4 linked regions of the Saccharomyces cerevisiae S288C genome follow. The gene in region 3 interacts genetically with the main gene of each other region. Each region holds a gene or a part of one and is shown on either strand. Other genes may lie near its edges.

Region 1 (4,553 bases), on a different chromosome or scaffold from region 3:
CACTCATTTTACATGATTTGCATTGGCAACAGTATTTTTTCATCCAAGGGTTCTCATCGTTCTCGAAGGGCGCGGCTAGATGTTTTGTTTTATGCTCAATACTTGATGCTAAAGTAGTCATGTTTCTTGTCGTCATTCTTTGAATTTTTGTAGTCCTATGTACAAGCACAATATAAATGACAGACTAGTCAACGACGCTGACCCTTTATATGTTCCCCGTATATTCCTTGTTTTCATTGCAGTTAACATGTAAATTTCCCGATGCGGTAATTACGTTTCAAAGTCATTTCAACACTTCTATTGACAGCAAAAAAATAAAGACACTTGAAACGCACGATTTTTTCAAGAATAATATCTGTCGAGAAGATGTGTCACATTACCTATCATTACAGTGCTACTGATAGCCCACTAATGCGGATATTTAAATATATGCACCAAAAATGTATAAAGAAATAAACGGTAAAGACAAAAAAAATTACTTATTACAAATCGCAATTACAATTAAAGTACAAGACTTCCTTTGGGACAGAAAACGTGAAACAAGCCCCAAATATGCATGTCTGGTTAATTATGATGATGTTGAAGGTGGAGGAGAAGACATCCTTGTTGATGCTGATGATAATGCCAACGCCTTTTTTTGCTTCTTCTTGAGGATAATCTTATCCATGTATGAATTTATGAATTCTTTAACTTTATGCCTTTTTCCTTTGGTTAAGTCATCAGGCGGCGCTCTTGAAGAATCTTTTTTAAGTTCCTTTGTAGTTAGGATTTTCACGATGTCTTTAGCACATTGTTTAATGTTTTCATGATCAAATTGTTTACTTTGTGGGTTTTTTTTTATTAAGTTGGGTACAAAAGATGCAAAGAATTTATTCCAGTTGTGCTCTAGTCTTTGGGACTGGGAGACCGTTTTTCTTTTCAACCGCTTAGCCTCTTTTGCTTCCACTAGTTTTTTGGCCTCTTCCTTTTGTAACTCCTTCTGTTTGTTGGCCTCCGCTATAATATCCTCCAAAACGCTTTTTCTTTCATTCTCAAGCTTTAGCTTTTGCTTCAGGCTTTCCAATTCTTCTTGTTTGGCTCTTTCTAGCGCAATTCTTTCGTATTCCAGTCTTTTTTGTTTCTTCCTCTCATATTCTTCGTCACTCAGCTTATGTTTCTTAGAGTCTAAAGCGCCAGGCGTTTTTGGTATTCCACTGCTACTCGGAGAATTTACTTGTGTATTTGACCTTGAACTAAAGACCTTAGATGATCCCGAAGGTGGATAGTGTAGTTTCGTTTTCTGTTCTGCATTATAATACAATGGGCGACCGTTTTCGTGAATGATCTCCCAGCCTGGAGGTAATCTCACCCTTCTCAAATCTATCATTTTGCTGGCTGCGACGTTTATGTCTTTCTTCGTTATCCTTTTATATGTTTCAAATTTCGACCATTTCTCCAATAACTCATCGCAGTTTGGCTTTAAAAATGGAAACTTTGCAGGGAGAGTTTTTACTACATTATCAATTTGTGACGACTCAATACCGTTTCGAGTTGTCTTTGGTAATTCCAACAAAAAATCTAAAATTCCCTTTATAAACTTTATATCATCTTCTTCAGTCTCGTTTCCTTTTCCATCTACCTGAGGTTGTTCCGTGATAAACAATTTAAGCATTTTGCTAAAACAGGTGTAACCGTGTAGTTTGATAGCCTGATGACGAAGAGAGTCATCATCGATAGTAAAAAGTCTCTTCAAGAGTTTGGATGCAATTATCTTATTATCTTGCTGTAGTAATACACTCATGATCTTCGTCACATCCACTGGGCTGTCGATAGGTTGGACTTCCAATGATTGAAGAAATTCAATATTTATGTTCTCGTTTTCATTCTTTATTATTGGCTCACCGCTTAATTTCTTTAACTTTAGCCATTTTTTCTCCATGGAAACAGTCACTCCCAAGGCATCAGCGATGTTCTGGGGCAATAAAGATGCCGCATCTGTTTGAGTCTTACCACCGAGAAACCCAATACAATTTGGCTCCTCACAGTAGCATTTCTGAGCTTGAGCACCATAACGATCCACATTATAATCAAAAGTGATTTCCTCACCTTTTAAAATTTTTCTTTGAGCAAATATTCCCATGCGTAGCTTATCCTTAACAACCCATTTATTAACATATGCATTGGGGCTGCAAGAGTGATTGCAAAATCTGGCCAACGAACCCTTTATTGTGGCGTCAATGAATTCTCCGTTCTGTAACATCATAAAATAAAAATGCTTGAAATGACGTTGGTCATAGTCTATTAACCTATCTCTAAATTCCATCTCCTCGATCACCTCACCTTTGTACTCGTAAATGAACTGGTTGGCTTCTATGTCCTGTTCGGCTCTTACGCCATAACCTTTATGCTTTGTTTTAAATATGGCTATCGGAGCGTACTGCTTCTTTTGAAATCTCTGATTTTGACAATCATTACCACAAGATGAACACAAATCGTTGACACATTCTATCAACGTAAGTCTATTGATACAGTCAGAATCCTCGTCACAGGCATGGTTGACGCCATCTGAGAATTCTTCATAACAGTCACATTCCATGAAATCATTATTCTTAAATGTTCCGATCCTCTTGTTCGCATATATACAGTCATCCAAGTTTTCAAATTTGGTCAATGCTTCCTCTGTGAGATCAGGCTCTTGATCAAAAAGCCTTTGAGGTTTATGGCCCTCAGCGTTGTTATTCAGTATTTCTTTTTCATCTTCCGACGCACTCACACTTTGGTTCTTCGACATGATCACGTAAAACAACAACCAGGAAAGGAGAAAGGTTTGACAGCACGACTATGCAGTTTTCTATCACACGTTCGAAAGCCCCTTTGAAAAGCTGCCAACGTGACCTTACGTTCTGATAAATAACCACCAAATTACCAATAATTCTAATAGTTTCTTGGAATTTTTCACATGTTTGCAGTGAATAAAAAAAAAAAAACGTTAAAGGTGATATTGATCACGTGACAAATCTGTAAAAGTACGGATACTGTCCTTATTACTGCGATATACAGTGTGAGGTATTCTAAGCGGTATATTCACCGTCCTCTACACATATTTTAAATACTGATGAAGTGACAAGCAATATCATTGAGCATTCTTTTTTCAATAGTCGAAGTCAGCTTCTTCTCGTCGGTTCTAAACGAAACGCCTTGTTGAAAAAGACCGATAAATAGAGGAAGCAACGGCAGGAAATATATATAAACGCATGTCGAAACTAATACTTTATGATAGATTGTTCTTCTATCAGTTTTCATTTTAACTTTAAAAACTCAACCAACAGGTATTGGACTGACATAGGCACAATAAACTCAAAAATATTACGTAGAAATGGCTTCAGAAAAAGAAATTAGGAGAGAGAGATTCTTGAACGTTTTCCCTAAATTAGTAGAGGAATTGAACGCATCGCTTTTGGCTTACGGTATGCCTAAGGAAGCATGTGACTGGTATGCCCACTCATTGAACTACAACACTCCAGGCGGTAAGCTAAATAGAGGTTTGTCCGTTGTGGACACGTATGCTATTCTCTCCAACAAGACCGTTGAACAATTGGGGCAAGAAGAATACGAAAAGGTTGCCATTCTAGGTTGGTGCATTGAGTTGTTGCAGGCTTACTTCTTGGTCGCCGATGATATGATGGACAAGTCCATTACCAGAAGAGGCCAACCATGTTGGTACAAGGTTCCTGAAGTTGGGGAAATTGCCATCAATGACGCATTCATGTTAGAGGCTGCTATCTACAAGCTTTTGAAATCTCACTTCAGAAACGAAAAATACTACATAGATATCACCGAATTGTTCCATGAGGTCACCTTCCAAACCGAATTGGGCCAATTGATGGACTTAATCACTGCACCTGAAGACAAAGTCGACTTGAGTAAGTTCTCCCTAAAGAAGCACTCCTTCATAGTTACTTTCAAGACTGCTTACTATTCTTTCTACTTGCCTGTCGCATTGGCCATGTACGTTGCCGGTATCACGGATGAAAAGGATTTGAAACAAGCCAGAGATGTCTTGATTCCATTGGGTGAATACTTCCAAATTCAAGATGACTACTTAGACTGCTTCGGTACCCCAGAACAGATCGGTAAGATCGGTACAGATATCCAAGATAACAAATGTTCTTGGGTAATCAACAAGGCATTGGAACTTGCTTCCGCAGAACAAAGAAAGACTTTAGACGAAAATTACGGTAAGAAGGACTCAGTCGCAGAAGCCAAATGCAAAAAGATTTTCAATGACTTGAAAATTGAACAGCTATACCACGAATATGAAGAGTCTATTGCCAAGGATTTGAAGGCCAAAATTTCTCAGGTCGATGAGTCTCGTGGCTTCAAAGCTGATGTCTTAACTGCGTTCTTGAACAAAGTTTACAAGAGAAGCAAATAGAACTAACGCTAATCGATAAAACATTAGATTTCAAACTAGATAAGGACCATGTATAAGAACTATATACTTCCAATATAATATAGTATAAGCTTTAAGATAGTATCTCTCGATCTACCGTTCCACGTGACTAGTCCAAGGA
Region 2 (3,615 bases), on a different chromosome or scaffold from region 3:
CAGATCGAGATCTTGTTTACAAGGGTGTTTTGAGCGTCATTTTATGCATTGTTTTCTTCTCTAAGAATAACATATTACATCAGGAATTGATCAAATTTCTAGAGACATTTGGCATTCCAAGCGATGGTTCAAAGATTGCTATACTGAACATTACTATTGAAGATTTGATAAAAAGTTTAGAAAAGCGCGAATATATAGTCAGATTGGAGGAGAAATCCGATACCGACGGGGAAGTGATATCATACAGGATAGGTAGAAGAACTCAGGCTGAGCTTGGACTAGAGTCTCTTGAAAAATTGGTGCAAGAAATCATGGGCCTTGAAAAGGAGCAGACTAAAAGTTTGCACGATGATATAATAAAAAGCATTGGCGATTCATATTCTATATAGCATTGCATAGGTGTCCATGTAGTTTAGGTGCGCATCTTTTTTGTCGAGGAAATAGTGAAGATGAATACGAAATAAACTATGGGCAAATAGTTACGAAAAAAGACTGGACTTAAACGGGTTACTATATATTTGTATAAGTTATCTCCTTGTTTTCTTTTTACTCAACCATCATATTAATTTGCAAGCTTACTTAACAAGTCTTGTATACTAGAAGAAACCCCTCCGGAATTCTCAACACCTTCGTCGGTTTGGGCGCCGACGTGGCCTTCTATATCTAACTCATAATGTCCATCCTCACTGTTGAAAGTACCATCTTCACTCGTCTTCGAATCAAGATGAACCTTTTTTTCCGGTATGTCATTAGCGTCATCATGACCTATCATATCATGTGTTCGTTTCATACCAAATTGATTGTCACTAGGATTATGAGTAGAGTTTTTATGTTCGCTATCTGTCTTTTCTACAACTTCATTCTTCTTATCTGTGGTGCTAATATTAGTAACGCCATAATTGCTGTCATTGGATCTATCATCGTAATTTTTGTCATCATCATCATCATCATCATCATCATCATTATCACCATCATCGTCATCGTCATCTCCATCCCCCACTTCATACGTAGGAATAATATTGTCTTCATCAACGTTTTTATTTAATCTGGATGGGTCTTTAGCAGATAAAACGAATTCTATTTCACTTAACATATTCTGTTCCTCATCTAGATGCCTTTTTTCATCGTCCAGTGTGCTTTGCAGTTTATGGATACCGCTTTCTCTTTTTAGAATTGATTCATTTATTATATCTTTAGCCATGTTCCCAATCTTACTTATTGTTTTAAAATTTTCCTCGTAAACTGAGCTGGATGGATCCAATTCATCTGATGATTTGTCAAATCTCATTTTCATCGCGCAAACATTATGGTGCATTTTCACTAATTTTTCATAGTCCTTAGCAAAATCTTTCAATTTCTGGGGTAACACCAACGCTTCCACTGGTGAGCTCTCGGTTTTAAGACTTCTTTCTATGTCATTGACTACCTGCTTGGAAAATATATTTCTTTCTTTTAGTATATTCACAACTCTTGACAACTTCTTTTTTAGGTCCCTCGGAAACTCTTGATTAATTCTTCCCAATACTTCTGCTGCCACCTTTCCAAAGGAATCTTGAAATTGAATAATTTTTTGACCTTTAGCCTGTTGAACAACATGATTCATTAAGTAAAGACCCAATAACTTCCTTCTTGTGTTTACACTAGGCCTTAACATGTATTCTTTCCACATTTCTGCCACTTTGGGAGCATCTCTATACTGTAGAAGCAACCACTTTGAGGCACTGGAAATAGATTCTTGGGAATCTTCCAACGTATTTAATTTGGTTGTGAATTGCTCAGAAGAGAAAGGCATACCGTCTATTTTAATCTTGGATTATTGCTTTCTTCAAATTTTCTACCTCTTCGTTAAAACCTTCTTCGCTTGTACTTATATTATTATGTTGGCTTTTCAAGTTTATATATTTTTAAAGGAAAAAAATAACTTTTTCATTTTTCGTTATAAAACAGAACCGTTATACATATTGAGATGGTTAAGGTCGTAGAAAAGAAATGTTCATTTGAGAAGGAAAAATGGAGGAAGGACCTATCAAAAAGAAACTGAAGTCAGCAGGTCAAGGGAGTGGAAAGACCGATGCCTTTAGAAATTTTGAACAATTTTTTTTCCGCCTTAATACTCTTTACACCTTTTTGATTTGCAGAAAGCATGTTGTGCCTACATTTAAAACACTTTGTGGACCTATAGAAACTGCTTTGAAAAGAACTGTGACGAAAGAAGACCTAGCCATGGTTATGGCGCTAATGCCAAGAGAATGTGTTTTCAAGTATATTGATGAGAACCAAATTTATACTGAAACTAAGATTTTTGACTTCAATAATGGCGGCTTTCAGCAGAAGGAAAATGACATATTTGAACTGAAGGACGTTGATGACCAAAATCAGACTCAAAAATCTACTCAGTTACTTATATTTGAATTTATAGACGGTACAATGCAACGCTCATGGTCTGCAAGTGATAGATTTTCTCAAATAAAGATACCAACATATACTACGGAGGAAATGAAAAAGATGATTTCTAAAAGGGAAGCTCTCTTTAAATCCAGACTACGGGAATTTATCCTGGAAAAGGAAAAGGCTAACCTTGACCCATTTTCTGAGTTAACAAATCTAGCGCAGAAATATATTCCAAGGGAGAGAGATTATGAGGATCCTATTGAGGCAATGATGAAGGCGAAGCAAGAAAGTAATGAGATGAGCATTCCCAATTATTCCAATAATTCAGTGATAACAACAATTCCTCAAATGATTGAGAAATTAAAAAGTACTGAATTCTACGCTTCTCAGATAAAGCATTGTTTTACAATACCATCAAGAACAGCGAAGTATAAAGGTCTCTGTTTTGAGCTTGCACCGGAAGTATATCAGGGTATGGAACACGAAAATTTCTACAGCCATCAAGCAGATGCGATAAACAGTCTTCATCAAGGCGAAAACGTCATTATTACAACATCGACCTCTTCAGGTAAATCCCTTATTTACCAACTAGCAGCTATCGATCTTCTTTTAAAGGATCCTGAATCAACGTTTATGTATATATTTCCAACAAAGGCCCTGGCACAAGATCAAAAAAGAGCATTCAAGGTAATACTTTCAAAGATCCCCGAGCTAAAGAATGCCGTGGTTGATACGTATGACGGCGATACGGAGCCAGAGGAAAGAGCTTATATTCGTAAAAATGCTAGAGTTATTTTTACCAATCCTGACATGATACATACCAGCATTTTACCTAATCATGCAAATTGGAGACATTTTTTGTACCATCTAAAGTTAGTGGTGGTCGATGAATTGCATATATATAAGGGTTTATTTGGATCGCACGTGGCATTAGTGATGAGACGTTTACTAAGACTGTGCCACTGTTTTTACGAAAATAGTGGTTTACAATTTATTTCATGTTCTGCAACTTTAAAGTCTCCAGTACAACATATGAAGGACATGTTTGGAATTAATGAGGTTACGCTAATACACGAGGATGGCTCACCTACAGGTGCTAAGCATCTAGTGGTGTGGAATCCTCCAATTTTACCTCAACACGAACGTAAACGAGAAAATTTCATTAGAGAGAGTGCAAAGATATTGGTACAATTGATATTGAACAACGTAAGAACCATAGCATTT
Region 3 (3,082 bases):
AAAAGAGCATTCTACGTACCTGAAAAATGCTGCAAATGGTAATGGTGTCGATCGTCATTTCTTCGGTCTAAAGAATATGCTAAAATCTAATGATGACCAAATTCCGCCCCTTTTCAAAGATCCCTTATTTAATTATTCTTCAACTTGGTTGATCTCCACATCTCAACTATCTTCGGAATATTTTGACGGTTATGGTTGGTCTCAAGTAAATGACAACGGGTTTGGACTGGCATACATGTTGAATAACGAGTGGCTGCATATCAATATTGTCAACAAACCAGCCAAGAGTGGAGCCAGTGTTAACAGATTACACTATTATTTATCTCAAGCTGCTGATGAAATTTTTGACGCCTTGGAAAATGAGAATAAACGAAAAGCAAAGTTATGAATTTTTCACCTTTCCTCTTCAATTAATTTGTGAATATTTTTGTTAAGTATCTACACTTACATACGTATAAATAGGGGAGAAAAAAGGGCTTACGAATACATACTGATCATTACTATCTATTTCTGCACCTAGTTTCATTATGCAATTTAAAACAACTTACAGAACAAATCTTATTTCCACAATTAACGCAACTTGAAATACTATCGTAGCCACCGCAAATAGAGCATGTCGTAATTAGGGGTAACACTTTGAAGTATCGTTTATTGTAAACATTGTGGTAAATGACATTCTTATCCATCAAGTTTAGCAGCGCAGAATCTAAAAACGAATGTAAATTTCTTTTTGAACTTAAAACCTTCTTTAACGCCACAATACGATTGGTATTCTTCCTCTTTGGTTTAGGTAGTTTTGTAGATTTATACGATAATTGTATTTCCCGTAAGGTTTCTGGTTTAAGCACCCAACCATGACCATACTTGGAATGCTCTTTTACAAAAGAAGAACCACCCATTAATGCAGAGAGACCATCCGAGGTCTGTGAGATCGGTTTGGTTGTTGATTCAATTCTATCTCGTGGTACGCCTGTGAGATCACTTAATAAAGTCGGTACATTTGGTAAATCCGAGAAATTTTCTGTGTTAAGTTCCATAAACCTCCTGTCCGACTGGAGAATCTCTTGTTGTGTGTACCTTTCTTCAAATGAATGGGAATTCTTACTATTTCGGTCATCCTGTCTGCTTATACTATTGCCATCTCCCTCAGATCTCGAAGTATATAACCTGGCCTCTAAATCTGCCAGTGAGTAGTTTATGCGCTTTACGGGCCTAGAGGTGGATATTGTGCCTTGCTTATTAATCTTCTTTGAAGTATATCGACGTGCTTGAGGATCCAATGACGTGAAATATATGTCAGGATTGTAAGTTTTCTTATCAATCTCTTCAACTAGCGCCTTCATTTCGCTGTTATGAGTAAGCGATCCGTTCTTTTTCTTCGATCTATCAATGATATCGACGTTACTATAGATTGAAAGGGCCGCTTCGACTTTTGTTAATACTCACAAAGATCATCATGTTCATTATAAAAAAAGTAGTTATTAATTATCTATTACCCGGATCAAAGTTATTTCTACAGAACACAAATATTTTATTGATTGCTTCGTTACATAAAGCAACGACTAAATAAATATAAGCTCTCTAGCTATTCCACCGACTTCACTTCCTTAATGAATGGTCGTTTTTGTAATACTCCAAAAAAAATATCAAAAAAAGGGGCGAGCTGGGAATTGAACCCAGGGCCTCTCGCATGCTTTGTCTTCCTGTTTAATCAGGAAGTCGCCCAAAGCGAGAATCATACCACTAGACCACACGCCCTTGTGAACTTGTGAATCTTAGCCACTAAGGAATCACCGAATAGTAAAAGTTTTCTGACAACTACAATATTAAGCCCTTAACAACAATAATGAATATTGAGTGCATAATGTTGAAATGGAACTCTAAAATATCATTTGTTTAGTAGTATTCGTGTTACTAGTTGTTGGAATAGAAATCAACTATCATCTACTAACTAGTATTTACATTACTAGTATATTATCATATACGGTGTTAGAAGATGACGCAAATGATGAGAAATAGTCATCTAAATTAGTGGAAGCTGAAACGCAAGGATTGATAATGTAATAGGATCAATGAATATAAACATATAAAACGGAATGAGGAATAATCGTAATATTAGTATGTAGAAATATAGATTCCATTTTGAGGATTCCTATATCCTCGAGGAGAACTTCTAGTATATTCTGTATACCTAATATTATAGCCTTTATCAACAATGGAATCCCAACAATTATCTCAACATTCACATATTTCTCATGGTAGCGCCTGTGCTTCGGTTACTTCTAAGGAAGTCCACACAAATCAAGATCCGTTAGACGTTTCAGCTTCCAAAACAGAAGAATGTGAGAAGGCTTCCACTAAGGCTAACTCTCAACAGACAACAACACCTGCTTCATCAGCTGTTCCAGAGAACCCCCATCATGCCTCTCCTCAACCTGCTTCAGTACCACCTCCACAGAATGGGCCGTACCCACAGCAGTGCATGATGACCCAAAACCAAGCCAATCCATCTGGTTGGTCATTTTACGGACACCCATCTATGATTCCGTATACACCTTATCAAATGTCGCCTATGTACTTTCCACCTGGGCCACAATCACAGTTTCCGCAGTATCCATCATCAGTTGGAACGCCTCTGAGCACTCCATCACCTGAGTCAGGTAATACATTTACTGATTCATCCTCAGCGGACTCTGATATGACATCCACTAAAAAATATGTCAGACCACCACCAATGTTAACCTCACCTAATGACTTTCCAAATTGGGTTAAAACATACATCAAATTTTTACAAAACTCGAATCTCGGTGGTATTATTCCGACAGTAAACGGAAAACCCGTACGTCAGATCACTGATGATGAACTCACCTTCTTGTATAACACTTTTCAAATATTTGCTCCCTCTCAATTCCTACCTACCTGGGTCAAAGACATCCTATCCGTTGATTATACGGATATCATGAAAATTCTTTCCAAAAGTATTGAAAAAATGCAATCTGATACCCAAGAGGCAAACGACATTGTGACCCTGGCAAATTTGCAATATAATGGCAGTACACCTGCAGATGCATTTGAAACAAAA
Region 4 (4,107 bases), on a different chromosome or scaffold from region 3:
TCCAACGTTGTTGTTCTTGTGGTGGCTGTTTGAAGCCTAACTTTTGTTGTATCAAACGGTTGCCCTACAAGAACTTGTGCAATACCACCGATGGTACCCGCAAAAATATCCTTCAACACACGATTAGAACTTAACTCTCTCTTCTCATTCGGCGTGGTAACTTTCTGTTGATCTTCCAATTCATCCAAAAGCTGCGGCGTAGGAAATTCTTCACTCATGACTAACTGTAATTGTAATACACGAAATTATTGCGCCGCTTTTTTCTGTTCTTTATGGCTACCCCTATTTATCAATTACAGTTGTATCATCCAAGAGGTGAAAACTAATTAAAGAAACTTATTTTAACACAAGGTATAAAAAATTATAAAAAAGCAATGCTCATTGTCTTCTCTCATCGCGAGCGGCCGTTATCTTCAAAGTGATGACTCTTCGAGATTCCTGCACAACGTCACTCAAAGGCGGCCCGCGACGTTTTCCATTGCGAAATTTTTCACTTTTCACCTTTTGTAAACAAAGAAATAACAATAAGAATGATAAAATTCATCTGTTTATGTACTGTACCTAGTTATTATATGGCTACAACTGAACCTTCTTGAAGCGAGTATGCTACAGAAATCTTGTTTCCCGCACAGTTCCATGACAGATCAAATATATAATCATTGTCTTGGCTGCTTTGGTAGCTAGCGTAGAGGGGAATTGGTAATGGATTCAAAATCCCATCACGGTTACCATAAAGACTTCGTGACTTGCTGTTCAGTTTTTTTAAATCGTAGACGTTTACCTGCCCATCCATGAAAGCAACTGCGTACTTCTGTCCATCTTGTGATATTCTTCCAGCAAAAATTGGGACACCATCCACGATTGATAGAGCCAATAGCGTATTCTGCTTCAGCGACCATAGGCGAACGGAGCCATCCATCGAGCAGGATATTACCTTATCATCACCGACCCATGATGCCGATACTATGCTTTGTGAGTGTCCGTAGAAGCAATTCTGAGAATTGCCGTTACCGCCATGCCATATTCTTAGAGTACCATCGTCTGAGGCACTAAGTAGAAGTTTATTGGTGTCATTGAACTCCAAAACGCTGATAGGTCCATGGTGTCCAATAAGTTTACCAGTGGGCGTTTTTTCTGTAATTTGGTATACAAATATAGCACCTTTAGGGCCAGGAATGACAAATTTGTCATCGTCTACCCATTCAACGTCAACCCCAAGTGAACCATCGCCACTATGGTTCTCTGCGTTGATGGATGAGCCACCGGTTTCTTTTAATTCAAAGTGCTGCATGACGGTCCCGCTTATAACATTCCAGAGTATAGTGACATTTTCCACGTCCATGGATATGATATGTGTTCCATCTTTGTTCCATTTAACGGATACTATAGGTGCTCTATGAAAATTTAAAACATTCAGAAGTGCCCCCGTCTTATTCCATAGTCTTAGCTCACCATTTTCTACACCCGTGACAATTGAATTACCATCGTGTGACCAAGCAAGACATGTGACTTGATTCGTCGTTTTACCACTACTTGCACTCAGAGCAAAAGGATGTCTCAACTCCGCTATTATCGTGAGTTTCCAGTATTTTTTCCCTTCTTGATCGGTTTCTACTATCCTCGCTAGTCTTGCAACAGAATTTTTTTCACCGTATGCGAGTATAGATTCATCCAATGGATTCCAAGTGGAGGAAACAATATTATCTAATTTTACTATCTCCTTCAGTATTTTGACAAATCCGTCTAGGTCATCACTACTGTCAATAGAATTAGTATCGTCCTCTTGGGTTTCTCTTTCAACAGTACTAGCGCCATCTTCACCTGCTTTATTACTCTCGGAATTGGTTTCCAAAGTGAACCTTCCTTCAGAAGAGATCTCAGGAAATTTTTCTTTATCTATTTGCAGCGCCTGAACCAAATTGAAATCTTCAGAAAGATGATGTTCATTTAAAGCGCTGATATCACCTTTACTATCAACCATTAACTCACTTTCTGTATACAAGATTCCCCTTTGTACTAGATTCACCAGTGTACCCAAAGGAATGTGTTCTTTATACTTCTCATCAAATTCCAATACTCTTGTTTCATCCTGCAATGCTAATGCACTCACCTCGTGTCCCATCTCTTGACAATACCTCCATATCAAGTAGTTTAGTTCTTCACTTGTTATACTCATTTTCCGTGTGATGGGCCTTCCCTACCTTTTTTTTGTTTCTGTTATTTTTATCTGAGTTAGCAGTTGTTAGTGTGGGCTGTACACTTCTTTGGAAAAAAAAACCTTCAATTTCGCACCAAGGTGTTTAAATTGTTCTCACTAATTGCAAATCAAAACGAATGGTCTTGCATATCTCATAACCTTTTCAACATGAATACATTCCTAATCATTTTTGTTTATTTCTCGTTTGCTAAGTTCCGCTCCATGAAAATAGATGACTGGAAAAAGAGACTAGAGACTGCAGTTAATAGTATATTTGTAAGACCTTGAGCAAAGCCGAATGAACAAAAAGCCTTCATATTAGACCAGGTAAGAGACTGAAAGTTGAAATATTTGTACTGTGAAAATGGTTGAGTTTTCTTTGAAGAAGGCCAGAAACAATTGGAAGCATGTAAAGAAGTCTGCAAGCTCTCCTGCTAAGCAAAAGACACCTCCATCGCCTGCTAAGCCTAAACAAAAAACAAAAAAGAACCCTTATAGTGATCTCAAGGATCCGGCTACCAGTTATACGCTACCAACAATCAATGCAAGGGAGAGAAGTAGGGTAGCAACTTCAATGCAGAGAAGACTATCAATTCATAATACAAATTATGCTCCACCTACACTAGATTACTCAATGCCCCTACCTGATATGCCAAACATGATAGTTCCCAATGATAATGTGGATAGTAGTCATAATAATAGTAGTTTCACCACTGAGAACGAATCGGTAAGCTCTAAAGGCCCTTCCAACAGTTTAAATCTTTCAACTGCCGATCTCTCCCTGAACGACAGCTCCTATAATAAGGTGCCTGCTAGATCAGCAATGCGAAATACTGTCAATCCTTCCGGCAGTAATGATCCTTTCAATAATAGCACGTCGCTAAGAAAGATGTTGGCAAACCCGCATTTTAATGCTAAAGATTTTGTTCATGATAAACTAGGCAATGCGAGTGCCATTACTATTGATAAATTTACCTCAAATTTAACAGATTTATCGATACAGGTCCAAGAAGAAGTAAAGTTAAATATCAATAAATCATATAACGAAATCATGACGGTAAACAACGACCTAAATGTTGCTATGTTGGAGCTTAAAAGGGTTAGAGCAAATATAAATGATTTAAACGAGGTTTTGGATCAGTGCACCAAAATAGCTGAAAAAAGGTTACAATTGCAGGATCAAATAGATCAAGAGAGACAAGGCAATTTTAACAATGTTGAAAGTCATTCTAATAGTCCAGCGTTACTTCCGCCTTTGAAAGCAGGACAAAATGGGAATCTCATGAGGAGGGACAGATCGAGCGTCTTGATATTAGAGAAATTTTGGGATACGGAACTGGATCAGCTGTTTAAGAACGTTGAAGGTGCTCAGAAGTTTATCAATTCTACGAAAGGAAGACATATTTTAATGAATAGTGCCAATTGGATGGAATTAAATACTACCACTGGTAAACCCTTGCAGATGGTACAGATTTTCATTTTGAATGATTTGGTACTTATCGCCGATAAATCAAGAGATAAGCAAAATGACTTTATAGTAAGCCAGTGCTATCCTTTAAAGGATGTCACTGTCACGCAAGAGGAATTTTCCACTAAGAGGCTACTTTTCAAGTTTAGCAATTCGAATTCAAGTTTGTATGAATGTAGAGACGCAGACGAATGCTCTAGGTTGTTGGACGTTATAAGAAAGGCTAAGGATGATTTGTGCGACATATTCCATGTAGAAGAGGAGAACTCTAAACGTATTAGAGAGTCCTTTAGATATTTGCAATCTACGCAACAAACCCCAGGTAGAGAAAACAACAGAAGCCCTAACAAAAACAAAAGACGTAGTATGGGGGGTTCAATCACTCCTGGCCGAAATGTAACAGGCGCAATGGATCAATATCTTTTGCAGAACCTAACTCTAT

Evidence for each region.
Region 1: mutations in VPS71 (region 3) and SET2 together harm fitness more than expected from each alone (negative genetic interaction), as found in Saccharomyces cerevisiae (11 studies listed by BioGRID, with this or other methods).
Region 2: mutations in VPS71 (region 3) and RTT103 together harm fitness more than expected from each alone (negative genetic interaction), as found in Saccharomyces cerevisiae (5 studies listed by BioGRID).
Region 4: mutations in VPS71 (region 3) and SIF2 together harm fitness more than expected from each alone (negative genetic interaction), as found in Saccharomyces cerevisiae (5 studies listed by BioGRID, with this or other methods).

What each region holds. Positions count from the first base shown.
Region 1 is NC_001142.9:101,659-106,211, forward strand, and holds SET2 (histone methyltransferase SET2), read right to left. Parts: upstream 2,771-4,553; coding exon 569-2,770; downstream 1-568. Other genes in the region: ASG7 (Asg7p), read right to left, coding at 1-121; ERG20 (bifunctional (2E,6E)-farnesyl diphosphate synthase/dimethylallyltranstransferase), read left to right, coding at 3,356-4,414. UniProt on the Saccharomyces cerevisiae protein: Histone methyltransferase that trimethylates histone H3 'Lys-36' forming H3K36me3. Involved in transcription elongation as well as in transcription repression.
Region 2 is NC_001136.10:1,037,718-1,041,332, forward strand, and holds RTT103 (Rtt103p), read right to left. Parts: upstream 1,793-3,615; coding exon 563-1,792; downstream 1-562. Other genes in the region: Smc5-Smc6 complex subunit NSE3, read left to right, coding at 1-389; HRQ1 (ATP-dependent 3'-5' DNA helicase), read left to right, coding at 2,011-3,615. UniProt on the Saccharomyces cerevisiae protein: Involved in transcription termination by RNA polymerase II and in regulation of Ty1 transposition.
Region 3 is NC_001145.3:194,413-197,494, forward strand, and holds VPS71 (Vps71p), read right to left. Parts: upstream 1,344-3,082; coding exon 501-1,343; downstream 1-500. Other genes in the region: carnitine O-acetyltransferase CAT2, read left to right, coding at 1-388; YML040W (gag protein), read left to right, coding at 2,216-3,082. UniProt on the Saccharomyces cerevisiae protein: Participates in the catalytic exchange of histone H2A for the H2A variant HZT1, an euchromatin-specific factor, leading to chromatin remodeling and changes in transcription of targeted genes. Indirectly involved in vacuolar protein sorting.
Region 4 is NC_001134.8:445,778-449,884, reverse strand, and holds SIF2 (Sif2p), read right to left. Parts: upstream 2,177-4,107; coding exon 569-2,176; downstream 1-568. Other genes in the region: YMC2 (organic acid transporter), read right to left, coding at 1-218; exocyst subunit EXO84, read left to right, coding at 2,562-4,107. UniProt on the Saccharomyces cerevisiae protein: Antagonizes telomeric silencing in yeast. May recruit SIR4 to non-telomeric sites or repression.